Linked DNA regions of Drosophila melanogaster. The protein of the gene in region 1 interacts with the protein of each later gene in a pairwise test. Each region holds a gene or a part of one and is shown in the gene's direction. Other genes may lie near its edges.

Region 1 (4,810 bases):
TTACTATCCTGATGCCTTGCGAAGCGAAGTTTCTTTTCTAATACTTTACATTTTATTTGTAACAAAATTGTTTCTCTGGATTCAAGTTTTTTAGATTTTTTACGTTTATGGGACAGTTTTTATACTCGTGCATCAATGACAACAAGAGCTATTTTGATTATTGCTTTATTTCGAATTTTGCTGATGAATACGAATTGCATCCACGACATATCCTAGACAAATTATCTAAGAGAAAGCTCAAACATGAACATTAAGCTACATATAAGAATCAAAAGAATGCCTTAAAAATAACAATCTGTTTCATATCGAATCTCTCCCACAATAAAGCAACTTTGACGTCTTTTTGGCGCTTTAATATACAATTAATTCACATTCACGATAGTTGCTCACATCCTTTCAATCACTTTGTGCAGAAGCAGCCGGCAGTTACGGTGACCGTTTTGAACTGCCAAGGTTGATCCTTGTTCATCCACGAATAGGGGTGATCGGACTGAGAGGTCTGTGCCAGGACCTTTACCTTATATTCCAGTGGCCTGCAATTGGATCCATGCGAGCACTTGGCCAGATCCCGACCAGCGCCCGATTCGCAAACGGCATTCATCAGAAAGCGAGGGAAGTGCAGACCACCCAGATCCACGAGCTCATTCTGGGAATAACAAAATAATTATAAACATCTGACGCGGCTGAATGGTATCCCAACGAACCGTAACTTTGCAGTCGCAGCCTGCGGAATGGACATCATTGCGTTTGGTGGTCACCAGATCCTCATAGAAATCGTTATAGTACATGGGCGGCAGCTGATGGGGCATGACCATCGCCATCTCTGTGGGATGTGGAGTGCTGGGACTGAATCCGAATAGGGCACTGAGCATTTTCGATGTACTGCGATCGGGCTGCTGCTCCTCCGCGCGGTGTTCCAGACTCCTTAGACCCACCATCTCGTCCAAACCTTCATCGCTGGCGTACTGACTGGCGATTCCTTTATTTGTCAGGCTAAGCAGCGCCATTGCCATAATGGAAATGGGCAACTTGGAACGGAAGGGTTTTAAAATGAATTCAGTTCGGAGTATATCCTTGTGCGCCCTCCTTTGTAATTTCGTTTCTATATCTTTCGGCTCTCATCCAGATGAAACTTACCCACGGCATCATGCTCGATCTGTGCCTGACCAGCGCTGTACTCCTTCTGCAGCTCTGGCCAAGGAGTCGCCATACTTTTATATCCATTTAGGACAAAAGCCGCCTCTCGGATTACCTTTTGTGCCAGAGATGAGAGCAGCAGCATCCATTACGGTTCGTCACCTGGACAGGATGGAACAATGGACTCCACAGTTGACACCACAACAATGGCAAGCCATGCCAAGCTCAAGTGGCCCGGCTGATGGGGTTGAGTCCCTCGGCTATTTATACTCCTCTGCTGCTTTCAATGCTTCAATGGGGGAAATGGCTTTAAGGCCTCAAGTGCCGGCAGAGGTGGAGAACTTTGGGCGGTGGGAGTAGCCAAAAGAAGCCCACTGACCCAGACATGTGTGCAGAGGCAAAGGGCAATCCGATCTCCTCCCATCGATAACGTTGACCAGGGTGGGTTTCTGGATTTTTGGTTTCCGAAACGGCTCCGAAACTTTTTCCATAGCATACTTTTGAGTGAGGAGCTGTGGGAAATGCAATTCCGATTGTATTTTACTTGTCGGATTTCCCCCAAATGGATGACATTTCCGTTTCATGGTCTTGTTTAAAGAATATTGTTTTTATAATGTGCAAAGGCAGATGAATGGTAAAAATAGTGGTTTATAGTCTTATGTAGAATTCTTAAACATTTTCCAGCTATGCACATCCTCCGAAGGCACCATGAGTTGCCATAAATTATGAGCTCACTATGTCTCCCACTTGGGCCAGTTTGGGTGAGGAGCACCGCCACTGGCATAACAAGCCCGGCTAGAACGACTGTCCAAGAGGCTAGACCGGGTCAGACCTCTTAGGCACATAGTATATACCCCTGTTCGTAGGGAGCCCGCGAGTGTGCGAGTGCCAGTGGACTGTGGTCGACTTCTACGGCTTCTGTCGACGGACAGCACGCACTGTCACTGTTCCCCGTGGAAATCCAAAATCCTCCTCAGTCGAATTCGCGTCGTCGAGGCAAGAACAGTGCCCGTGCCACAAGGTTGGACATGCACAGCTGGACAATCTGACATCGCTTAGCCATCAGCAGCTACATAGGTTCGAGCAAGGGAAGTCGGGACTTGGAATCGGAATCAGAATAAAAAACCAGGAGCGGAGGAGATGCAGATTCCGCTGGTGGGCGACTTATGCTGAGCTCCGCAGCTGCCTGTCTCCAAAGACTTCATCCGTGCTTTCGCCGTTGTTGTTGTGCAGTTTTTCCGCCGTGGAATTTGTCGAAGCGGAAAAGCGAGAAGAAGCAGCGACGCGAAGCCCTCGAAGTGTCGACGAAAATCGTTAAAAAATAGAAAAACACACGGCGACTATGTCACGACGCGCTTGAAGAGCCCCATCCTCGCTGAGGGAGATATTGAGATTGAGCGGGATCCACACCTCAGTGGCCACTACTCGCCACCCACTCCGCCAACGTCAACGTTCACCAACAGGAAGCTCAGGATTCGCATGGACAAAGGCACAATGAAGCGCAAGCAGCGGAGATACAGGTATAGCAGATACATTCGAAATGTACATATATCGCGGTATAAATCCAAAAACTGGACTAGTTTCATAAGTATCTACTAAAGCTATAGGTGCACTAACACTAGTTTTCCTAATGATCCGCAGAACCACATTTAACACACTGCAACTGCAGGAGCTGGAAAGGGCGTTCCAGCGGACACACTATCCGGACGTGTTTTTCCGAGAGGAGCTGGCCGTGAGGATCGATTTGACGGAGGCGAGGGTGCAGGTGTGGTTCCAGAACCGGCGGGCCAAGTGGCGCAAGCAGGAGAAGATCGGTGGGCTTGGCGGAGATTATAAGGAGGGTGCGTTGGATCTCGACGTGTCCTACGACGACAGCGCCGTCCTGGGCCAACTGGATAGTGCGCTGGGTAAGAAAGGATATCTCTGTTACCTATCAACCCATCGCTAGTAATGACCCATATTGATTTCAGGCGGCGGTGGAACTCTATTGCCGGACACCCCACCGCAATCCTCGAACTCCCTTGATAACGAACTTAAGGCCTCCTACGGCACGGGGGCCATGTCGCCCTCTAGGCTGTCACCGAATATATTTCTCAACCTCAACATTGACCACTTGGGACTGGAGCGGGGTGGCAGTGGCCTCTCCATGGAGTGGTCCACATATCCTCCGCAAACGCAAGCGCAGACACACCCGCAGATGGACTCCGACAATCAGCTCCAGCAGCACCCGCCTCAACAGCATGCATCCGATCCGATTCACGCCGGGAGTTCGAGTCATCACCAGCAGCAGCAGCAGCAGCACCAGCAGGAGCAGCACAATCCCCAGCTTCATCCGGGGCTTGAGTTTGCCGCCTCATTGAGTTTGGACATGACCGATGGCTCCTCCGCCTACGACGAGATGAAGTTTCTCAGCGTGGACGTGGACCAGTTCACGATCGACAGCTTCAAGGCGGACTGCATTCTGAGCATGGAGCAGTCCCAGATGCAGGCCTACGGCGGTCACTCCCAGCTGGTCGGATCATCCAATGAACTGTGCCTGGACGGGATTGGCATGTCCTCCTTTGGCATGGAAGAGGGTGAGCCCAAGTCGCCTCCCTCTCTTTTGGTGCTGGACAAGTCGCTGCCCTCTTTGAGCATAGGCGTGGAAGGAATCGCTGATCTCGTGGAGCAACTGCATCATCACCAGCATGAGGGCGGCCCAGTGGGCGGTGGTGTCATCACTGGCGATGTCATGTGAATCCAACTTAGGCGAATTCTCAGTTTCTCAGCGGTAAACTGAAGTGCGAAACCTGCTCTAGTTATATTCTTGTTTTCTAGTCAATGTTAATGTCTAAGTTCAAGACCCAACAAGGTCGCCACACTTGACTACAAATATTTGGATGGTTAACTTACAAAAATTTTAGTACTAAATACTAGTTTATCTGAAGTTGTATTACTTTAGTCCTGGAAATGTGTCTTGATAAATAGCAAAGTGGTTTACATAAAGAGAACCTGTAAGTTTATAACATTTGAAAACAACGAGAATTGTTGAAAAAGAATATTTTTCGTAGTGTACATTTGTGAATTTCGAAACATTCGAATCGAATCGAAACGAAACGGAACGGAACGGGTCCTTGACTACGAGCACGGGTACCTTTTCTGGCCAGGCTCAGCCATAGCTTCTATGGATTCCGCATGTGTGTGCCAAACAAAGGAACCCCCCCCCCCTACGCCCCTGCCACGTCCCCTACCCTCTGCACACGCCTTATTTGTGGCTCGGATTAGAGGCAAGCTAGTTGTGCGATTTGAATGGATTTCGGCTTCCAGTGCTGTTTGTTCGGCAATAACATTTGCTTTGCTTTTTAACAATTACCAAAGACCGCTCCACGCTCCTCCCTGACCTGCCCACTGGTTGGCTGTAATTTCCATTTACTCCTATTAACGAGGATTTCTGTAGCTCCTGATCCTAAGCATCCTCAACGAACAACTCCTACGCTCCATTAAGTGAAAAGCTCACAGCAGAGATGATAAATATGGTGAAATTTAATGAAATTGTCAGTTAGTTCTAAAGTACTACAATAGATATGCTATTCTCATTACACGGCGAGATCCAGATCACATGAGGGCATCTCGCTTGATTAAGACTCGTCCGGTTTGGCCAGAAAAGCTGGCTGGAATTAAGCCAGAGGCTTGA
Region 2 (3,838 bases), on another chromosome or scaffold:
TGTTGCGTGGCACGTGCGGTGTGTCGTGCACGTCCATCCCAAGGTAGTGGGAGACGTGGTGCGGACAGAAGCGGTAGCCCTGGCTGACCAGTTCCTTGTACTCGCTGAACGACTTGCCCACCAGCCCGATCTCCTGCAAGTACTTGCCCAGCTTGTAGCAGGTGGTCTCGAACAGCTGGTCGAGCGTCTCGCCGCCCGGCTTCATCACGTTGCCAATAATCTCCTCCTGCAGCTGGTGCAGCATGTCGTACAGTGTGCGCTGCGGCTCCGTGAAAACCCCACTCGCCGGCCAGGTGCGTGTGATGTCGCTGGTGTAGCCGCCATACTCGCAGCCGGCGTCCATCAGCACGAGATCCTGCTGACCCAACAACTGGCTGTTGGCCACGTAGTGGATCACCGTGGCGTTTTTACCGGCAGCCACCACCGGCGGGTAGGCCAGGTAGCTGGCGTTGCGCATGCGGCACTTGTAGTCAATCGCGGCGAACAGATGGTGCTCCGACTGACCTGGCCGGGTCTCGGCCATCACTTCGTTGAACGAGCGTGAGGCTATGTCGCAGGTGCGCCGCATTAACTGCATCTCGTCGCGGGACTTAAGCAGGCGCATGGCTTCTAGGAAAGTGTAGGCCGGCAGCAGCGGACGCTGCTGATTGCCGCTCAATCGCAGCATGTTCTCCGCCAGGGACGGCAGGTCGGTGCTCTTCTGATCGAACCAGATGTGTGGTTTTAGGGCGCCTGCGCGCTTGGCCAGCACCGCCTCCAGCTGGGACAGCGGATGGGCCTCAGTGACTCCGAAAAGCGGCACCGCGAGCTCGGGCCCAGTGCGCGGACCATCCCACAGCTCGGCATGCGGGTCCTTGGGACGCATAAACAGCTCGGACTGCACGTTCTGGGCCTCGTCGATGGTCAGCAGTAGCACGGCGTCCGGCTCTAGGCAGCCAGTTAGGTAGTAGAAGTCCGAGTTCTGGCGGAACACGTACGGGATCTTGCCGCTCATATACTTCTTGGAGGCGGCGCCCAGAACGAGCTGTCAGAGATTCAAGTTTATATATTTTGCTTCTCTTTGTAGCCTGCAGGTCCTCACCATGTGACAAGAACTCGAGTGCCCATTGAACTCGCCGCCGAAACTGCGTGCATAGGCGCGGATGTTTTGCATCAGCTGCGAACGGCGTTCCTTGATCTCGGTCAGCTCCACGCCCGGAACCAGCTCGTCCGGCTGGATAAGATGTGGATGCGAGACGCTGGTGGGCTGTCCCAGGTTTCCCTTTTGCTGGCGCAGAATCTGAGCCACGCCACGCACCTCGGCCGCGTTTACTGTCGATTTGCTGCTGGGACTTCCTGGGGAGATCGTGGTGGACTGGCTCATCCAGCGGTGTGGCCACAGGCTGGTGGAAATGGCGGCGCTGCGGCGGACGGTGGGAGCGATCAGGCGGTCCAGGCGCCTTAGGATATTCATCGTGCTGCCGGTTCCGGTTCTTGGGTTGCCAACTAAAATCTTCACAATATTATACACATCAGAAAACGGAACTGTTAAAAACACTAACGATCCTGGATAAAAACAAAACACATGGGTTGCCAGACGATTGCTTAACAAGAGTCCCGCCGATTGACAGATGTCGATAACTATCGTTGTAAAATTATACAACTATGTGAATGTAGTTTCGCCTTACCTATAGCAGCTTTCAAAAAACGCGATTCATTTCGAATTGTGTACAACCACGGCTTATATAAGCTTATGAATCCACTCAAGTACGCCAACTTGATTGCTTTCGCCCCATAGCATTTAAATATTGCGCTGCAATCGAAAAACCTCGATAGTACCGCCGCTAAGCTTTAGAAGTAATCGACATTGGCATCCCTAACATAATAACAAAAATTTTTAACAGGATCAATAGGGGGCTTTGGAACAGTATTTTCGACTTAGACAGACACTTTGAAATCATTTGACATATCTTTAGAATGTCCATGGAGGAGGTATGTGTTGGTATAGCCCAGTTCCAATGGCCAAACACTCAATGTAATCCCGTCCTGCAGTGCTTTGTGCCCCGGCTGCCGGTGGACAGCGAGTTCATCCAGTTCCACGACTGGGCCATCAAGTATGAGAAGTCGCACATCCTGAAGAGCAGCTGCCAACTGGGCACCGCCAAGTGCTGTCCCAAGGACTCGGCCGACCGCTGCGACCTCTGCCACTACCAGCACTCCCTGCAGCTGCCCCACCTGCCCGACATGGTGTTCCACAAGAATCGGCTGGTGTTACAGCACAAGGACGGCGCCACTCTCGAGTTCTGCCCCATGGACGCGCTGGCGCTGGTGGACAATGGGAAGCAGCCGCTGGAGGTCGCTTGTGCTCAGGAGTGGCGGGAAACGCGGTGGGTACTCCCATTGAGATTGGGATATGGATCGTTCTACTGTTGTTCCTCTATAAATCGCCCAAATGATTGAATTCTATACTCCAGTAACGAGCAGACAATGGAGGAGAAGTTCAAGCCTTTCGACTGGACATTCACCTCCACCTACCAGGGCACCATGAACGAAAAAGTGCGATCGGAGACCACGAATCAGACGCTGAACAAGTTCAAGCTGATGCAGCGCGAGAACATCATCTTCTACCACGATTTAACTCTGTTCGAGGATGAGCTGCACGACCACGGAATATCGGTGATGAGCGTGCGAATCGTAAGTGCTGATAAATACAAATTATAGAGCCCTTATCGAAGAAGCCCAACTCTTTCTGGCACAGCGCGTGATGCCCTCTGGCTTCTTCATCCTTTTGCGCCACTTTCTGCGCGTGGACCACGTGCTAATCCGGATGCACGACACCCGCTTCCACCACGAGATCGAGAACGACTTTATCCTGAAAGAGTACATCCATCGGGAGGCGCCTTGCACTGAGCTTCAAAACTGTGTGGCCTTCTGGACCAACCCGGATGAAATGCAAGAATTTGTGCCCGTGAAGTCCAAGCAGTTGCACAAGCTCTTCTTTAAGTAGTCCCGATGTCCGATGCTAGATGCCAGATCCCAGATCTCTAGGTTTATGTCAGTCGTCGCATTGGTTACAACTGCTGCTATATGCGTTTATTTATTGCCAACAGTGTGCGCATGCGCAGACGACATTAAAAGCGATTTTCCTAAAAGGCACACTACGATCAAAGCTATTAACACGAATAAAATATTGGGCGGACCAGCTGCCACATCCTCGGGCCTAGGCGGATCCAAGTAGGGCTGTCAGGGCCCGCTTGTAGTCACCAGAGGTCTCCGCCTGGAAAGTAAAGAAAGGAACGTATTGAAGCGAGATCCAAGTTCTTGCTTTTTTGGCTATGCCCTCTACACTACAATTACTACTTTGCCCGAAAATACTTTTTTGGCAAGCCAATAATGAGATATCGAAAAATGCCCAAGAACCAGTTTGCTTCGGCGTTCTTAGAAATAATTTGATGGGGATTTTGGCAGCATATGTAGCGTAAAAGGAACACTTGATAACGTGGAGTAACCAAGACCAGGAATACATCCGTTTCACCAATGGCGTGGCCAATACTTACGTCCTAGGACAACACAAACACCGCAACAAATGCCGACAAGTACGTGAAGAGAAGGGGAAAGGGGTGCGTTAACCATGTGCGAAGCACTCGCGATTCTTCGAGATCCACTTACCACCACGGCGCTGTGCAGCGTACGGTTGTAGATCCGCTCGAACTCCTGCTTAATGGTCTCCAGGTCGATCTCCGAGCGGCTGACGATGATGCGGATGAGCGTGGCGTCATCGGTGCCGGCGCCATTCATGGCCTTGTACAGGCGGTTGGCGAAGAAGGCCGCCGGTGACTGGACGCACTCAACTAAAAGG
Region 3 (4,988 bases), on another chromosome or scaffold:
TGATTGACTTTACTGCGTCAAAAGGTCGAAAACCGGCAGGTGTGTTGTTACCTTCTTTTTCTATGCTTTTTTTTTTGCGTGTGCGTACTGCGTGGGTGCTGTGCGGTTTTTCCGGCTTTCCATCGCTCGAACCTGGGCCATTGCCATGTTTGGCGGCATTATTTCCACGGTTTTTTACACTCGTTTTTTCTTCAGTTTTGCCTTTGTTTTTGTTTGGCTTTTAGCTTTATCGCGACATTGGCAAACAATTTTCGGCAAGGCAAAGTCGCGCTCCACTTGTTATGCTGCTCTGCTCCCGGACGAACTGGCCAACTGAACTGGCTTGGCTGCGACTCTTTCGGACGTGTTTCGCAAGTTAAACCCAGTCCGAACCCAAGCCCATGCCCAAAAGCCAAACTATTTACAACCGACCACTCTGAGGCGGCGACCGCAAAGCATGAACATGAATTAAAACAAAACTGTCAACAGAAAACCAAAAAAAAAAATATATATATACATATATATAAATGAAGCGAAAGCGAATATGGGTACGTTTTTCTTGATGGCACGAAGAACATCGCACTAAGCTCGAATGTATTACTATGCGAGTGCCACAGTAAAACATATGCTTAAAACTCAAAAATAACATATTCACTGCATTACATACATTAAAAGCATTAGTAAAATTGAAAACTTAAAAAAATTTAATATTTTACATTTTGACACCAAAACTGAAGATTCTAGAATATTACGCATACGACATGTATGCCTTTGTAAATACAGTAACTGAATTTAAGTGGCGTATAAAAATGTACTAACAACCAAGCAGTTTATTATAGGTATAGGTAGATATTTAGAATTCACTTTTAGCCCTTGAGGTTACAACCCAAAATTAATCATACGCCGCGTGGACACAACAAAGTATGTGTGTTAAGCCAAATTTTCAAGTAAAAAGTAACTTTAATCAGGTTTCAAATTACGGAAGCATGACTGTACCAATTAAATGCAGCTGTAAACTTATTAAGCCGAAAGCAAACGCAGCAAAAACACGCACAAGTTCACATTTATGTGTCTTGAAAACAGCTGACTGCCCTTGAAAATGGAACTTAACCGACCCATAAAATGCTTTAAAACAATGCCCAAGTCAGAGGTTTGGTACAACAACAACAAAAAAGTGCTAACTGACAATTTAAAATGGTCAACGTACGATGTGAGATTCACAAGCGTGGAGTTAGAAATTATGGTCATGTGAATGGTAAGCTACATTCTTGGCGCTTTGCGGCGACCTTAGCTGCAGGGTGGTGCACTGAGAGAAATATATTCAGCCTTATATTGAACTAAATACATGCACTTTGTTCCCAAAACTAATCGTTTTTAGTGTATGAATATTAAAAATTCCGATTGGCCAGAGTGCCAATCACGGCAAAGTGCATTTAGCAATAATGCACTTGCTGTTTGCCAACTTTGTTTGCATCATTTTGCAAATCAATTAGTTAGAATTTTAGCACTGCCTGCTAATTGCGGTCGCAGCATCATCAAGTCATGCAAATCGGTTGCATTTCGTTGCAAAGCAAAGAATGATACATGCTTTTTTTCAGATAAGGCTAAAAGCAAAGCGCCAAAAGCTTCAAACACTCCACTCATCGCAAAAAAAAAAGAAATCATTGGACATTGTGCAACCGGCGATCGGTCGAAAAATAGGGTTTTGCTGGCTTCGCAACTTAGCATAATTGCAACACACTAGTTGAGAGCCACTTCAATCAAATATTTCTTCATGCATCCTGGAACATCAATCATGAGTCTTCATTTACCACTCAGTTGACTAAATAATACTTTCTAACGCAATATATTCCACTAAGTTTAATATTTTTTCTTAATCTCAAGTGCAATAAGTTTTAAGTTATTATATAAAGTACAGAAATTTAACTTTATAAAGCAAGTTTAAATTCAAAAATAAGTGCAATTTGAATTAACGCTTTTCCGTTACGTGACGTAACGTTAAGTACGACCTGCGCCAACGTCACGTAACGATTGGCACATCGATAGGCGTTGAATTGGGACGAAATGCCATCGCTAGGTGAAAGTGTGACCGTGCCCGTGTGAAGAACACAAACCAATGGAATAAAGTAAAAAAATTGTATATTTTAAAGCGGAATAAAATGATCTGTCGCCTGTGTCTGAACGCGCTCGACGAGCAGAGCGCGGTGCTACTGTTCGACGGCGCCGGCGGAGCCAGTGCGCCCGCACCGGATGACGAGGACGACGGCAAGGCGATGCCAGAGAGCTACCTGGTCCAACTGATCTCGATTCACTTGTACCTCTGCGTGAGTATTCGCTGATGATTATTTAGCCCACCGCCTCGCCCTAATGCTACCGCTCATCTGCCGCAGCTCTCCCGCGACGACGCCATCTCCACCTGCATCTGCACCGAGTGCTGCTCGCAACTGGAGAGCTTCCACAACTTCTGGAAGCTGGTGGAGCTAAAGCAGACGACGCTGTGCAGCCAGTTTTTGGCTATCGATTGTGATGTCAACTGGTCGGAGGATGGCAGCGAAACGCAGTTGGATGCGCAACCGCAATTGCTACTGGAGCCGGCGGAGGAGCCCAAAGTGGTGACTCCCACAACGGCGAATAAGTTTCCCTGCATGTTCTGCGAGAAGTCATTTAAGATGCGCCGCTACCTGGAGGAGCACATAGCCACCCACACCGGCGACCGACCCATTGCGTGTCCCTACTGCGAAATGGCCTTCCGCTGCCGTTCGAATATGTACACCCATGTGAAGAGCAAGCACACCACGCAGTGGCTAAAGGCTCGCGAAGAGCGGGATGCGGCCAAGTCGAATCAGAATCACACGACGCCGGAGGAGACCGCTCCAGCAGTTTTAGTTCCTGTCCCTGCTCCTGCTCCTGCTCTTGCTTCCGCTCCTGCATCTTCTGCTTCTCCTGGAAACACAGTAAATCCCGCTGCTACTGCTACTCCTGCTTCGTCTGCCACACCCACCACCAATCTCGCAGCAGCTCCTTTACCATCGCCACCAACTGTCCAACAGCTGCCGCTGTCGGTAATCAAGAGTCAACCCAGCGAGGCCATGAACCTCACCATAACCAAGACACCGCCATCCGGTAGTCGGGGCTCACGCAATCGATCCAGTCGCCGAAAGACGCACTCGCCCAAAAAGGTCCAGCACACGGAGGGCAGCGATGTTAGCGACGAGGATTCGCCGCAGAAAAGGCTCAAGGAGAACGAGCTCATACTGGCCAATTATAATGCGGTAGCCGCTGCTGTCGTGGCAGCCGCTTCGCTAACGGGCAATCCGCCAGGACAACCGGATAGCCTGCAGCAGCGTCTGTGTGCGAGCCTTTTGCAACAGCAACATCAGGAACAACTCTTTGCTGTCATGTCGGCAACGGCGGCTGCAGCGGCGGCCGTAGGAACGAGCAGTGCCACAACAACGACGACAACGACAACTGGGACAATGATGGCGCATCCCTATGGGTAAGTCGATTGGATACTCCAGCAGCAAGCAGCAAGCAGCAAGCTTACTAACGAATCTCTTACAGCAACCACCCGCCTTCAGAGACGGATAAACGACCGGCGGCTCCGCTGCAGGCTGTCATCCATGCGGCACCCGTTTCGATCATTTGTCCCAATTGCGGTGAGCTTCCTGGCCAGAATCATCGCTGCCTGAGCAAGCCCAAGTACGCATGCGATGTGTGCGGCAAAAGCTTCAAGATGAAGCGATATTTGGAGGTGAGTACTGCACTGCCTTGCATTGTTTCAGTTATCCGCAGCTGCATGGATACCACTAATGATAATGAATTCTTCTGCGGCAGGAGCACTTTGCCACGCACACGGGCGTCAAGCTGCACACCTGCGCCTTCTGTCCCACGGAATTCCGCTCCAAGTCGAATATGTACCATCACACTAAGCGCAAGCACAAAGCGGAATGGGAGAGATCGCGAGCCACGCGCTCGGCGGCCAAGGCTGGCGTCCAGGAGCAGATGCAGCACACCAACCCGTCACAGGCACAGGCTCAGCCGGGTCCTGCGGCCGCACTCTAGGATGGCAGCCGGCACCTGGACGCGGTGCATGCGTAGTCTTAGATCTTTACAATTACAAATATATACATATATATTTTTTGCATATTAGCCATACCGAATGTACTTATCCGACGTTTCGTGTACTCCACAAAGTCAAGGCGTCCCGCCGCCTGGCACCTATTGTGTATACTCTTCTCGTTCTCTATAATGCCTTAACCAGTTGGATTTGATCTGGTTATAAAGTAAACACATTCATTTCAAAAGAAACTAAAAGTCATGTGCACTTATTGGGCGGGGCTTACTGCTAATTGGTGGCTCCATCGATCCATTTGCATGTGAAAAAATCTCTGATCTTACAAGTTTATTTCGTTTTAGCAATTTATACATCTGTTTTTACAATAAAAGTAAAGTATGCGATGCGGGTTTATGCGATTTATGAACGTAATGGTTAATTCAATAAATACGGCGTTTGATACCAGAGATCCACTGCCCACTGGCATGGATCAGCCTGCAGCCGTGCACATCCGTGGTTTGTACTCCGTATTTATTGCACTGGTCATAAGGCAAATATATACCCTTAATGCTGGATGGGATTGGAGGATTGTGTGATTTAAAAGTACTGCCGAGGCTTTGCATTGCGATGATTGATGCGATGAAGTTGAACTGGTATCTGCTAACCCTAACCCTATGCCTGGCTGCTAGCTGCCCCACTGAGATTGGTGCTGCTCCACTGGAGTTGGCTGCGGTTGAGCGCGTATATGTTTCTGTGTCTTAATGCTTAAACTAAAGGCTGCTGCTTCTGCTGATGGAGTCTGGGTACTGGTTCTACGAACGCTTGCTGCGCGCCTGCGCCTGCAGCAGATCCACCGACGGCACGACAAACACAAACGACAGGCAACCGAATCGCAGCAGGCTGCCGTGAGCCAGCACCGCCGATCCCTCCCAGGCGCCATCCACCATGGGCACTG

The links.
Region 2: the proteins of Pph13 (region 1) and CG9578 interact in a two-hybrid assay, tested with the Drosophila melanogaster proteins (one large-scale study listed by BioGRID).
Region 3: the proteins of Pph13 (region 1) and CG12219 interact in a two-hybrid assay, tested with the Drosophila melanogaster proteins (one large-scale study listed by BioGRID).

What each region holds. Positions count from the first base shown.
Region 1 is NT_033779.5:575,377-580,186, forward strand, and holds Pph13 (PvuII-PstI homology 13), read left to right. Parts: upstream 1-2,109; 5' UTR 2,110-2,616; coding exon 2,617-2,657; intron 2,658-2,778; coding exon 2,779-3,044; intron 3,045-3,107; coding exon 3,108-3,874; 3' UTR 3,875-4,173; downstream 4,174-4,810. Other genes in the region: Ptth (prothoracicotropic hormone), read right to left, coding at 401-646, 705-1,028, 1,138-1,224.
Region 2 is NC_004354.4:20,168,393-20,172,230, forward strand, and holds CG9578 (uncharacterized protein), read left to right. Parts: upstream 1-1,829; 5' UTR 1,830-1,956; coding exon 1,957-1,971; intron 1,972-2,031; coding exon 2,032-2,366; intron 2,367-2,453; coding exon 2,454-2,673; intron 2,674-2,737; coding exon 2,738-2,986; 3' UTR 2,987-3,134; downstream 3,135-3,838. Other genes in the region: CG9581 (uncharacterized protein), read right to left, coding at 1-1,024, 1,082-1,453; AnxB10 (annexin B10), read right to left, coding at 3,200-3,256, 3,537-3,539, 3,649-3,830.
Region 3 is NC_004354.4:6,298,350-6,303,337, reverse strand, and holds CG12219 (uncharacterized protein), read left to right. Parts: upstream 1-2,052; 5' UTR 2,053-2,138; coding exon 2,139-2,303; intron 2,304-2,369; coding exon 2,370-3,475; intron 3,476-3,540; coding exon 3,541-3,730; intron 3,731-3,813; coding exon 3,814-4,041; 3' UTR 4,042-4,284; downstream 4,285-4,988. Other genes in the region: CG3815 (uncharacterized protein), read right to left, coding at 4,846-4,988.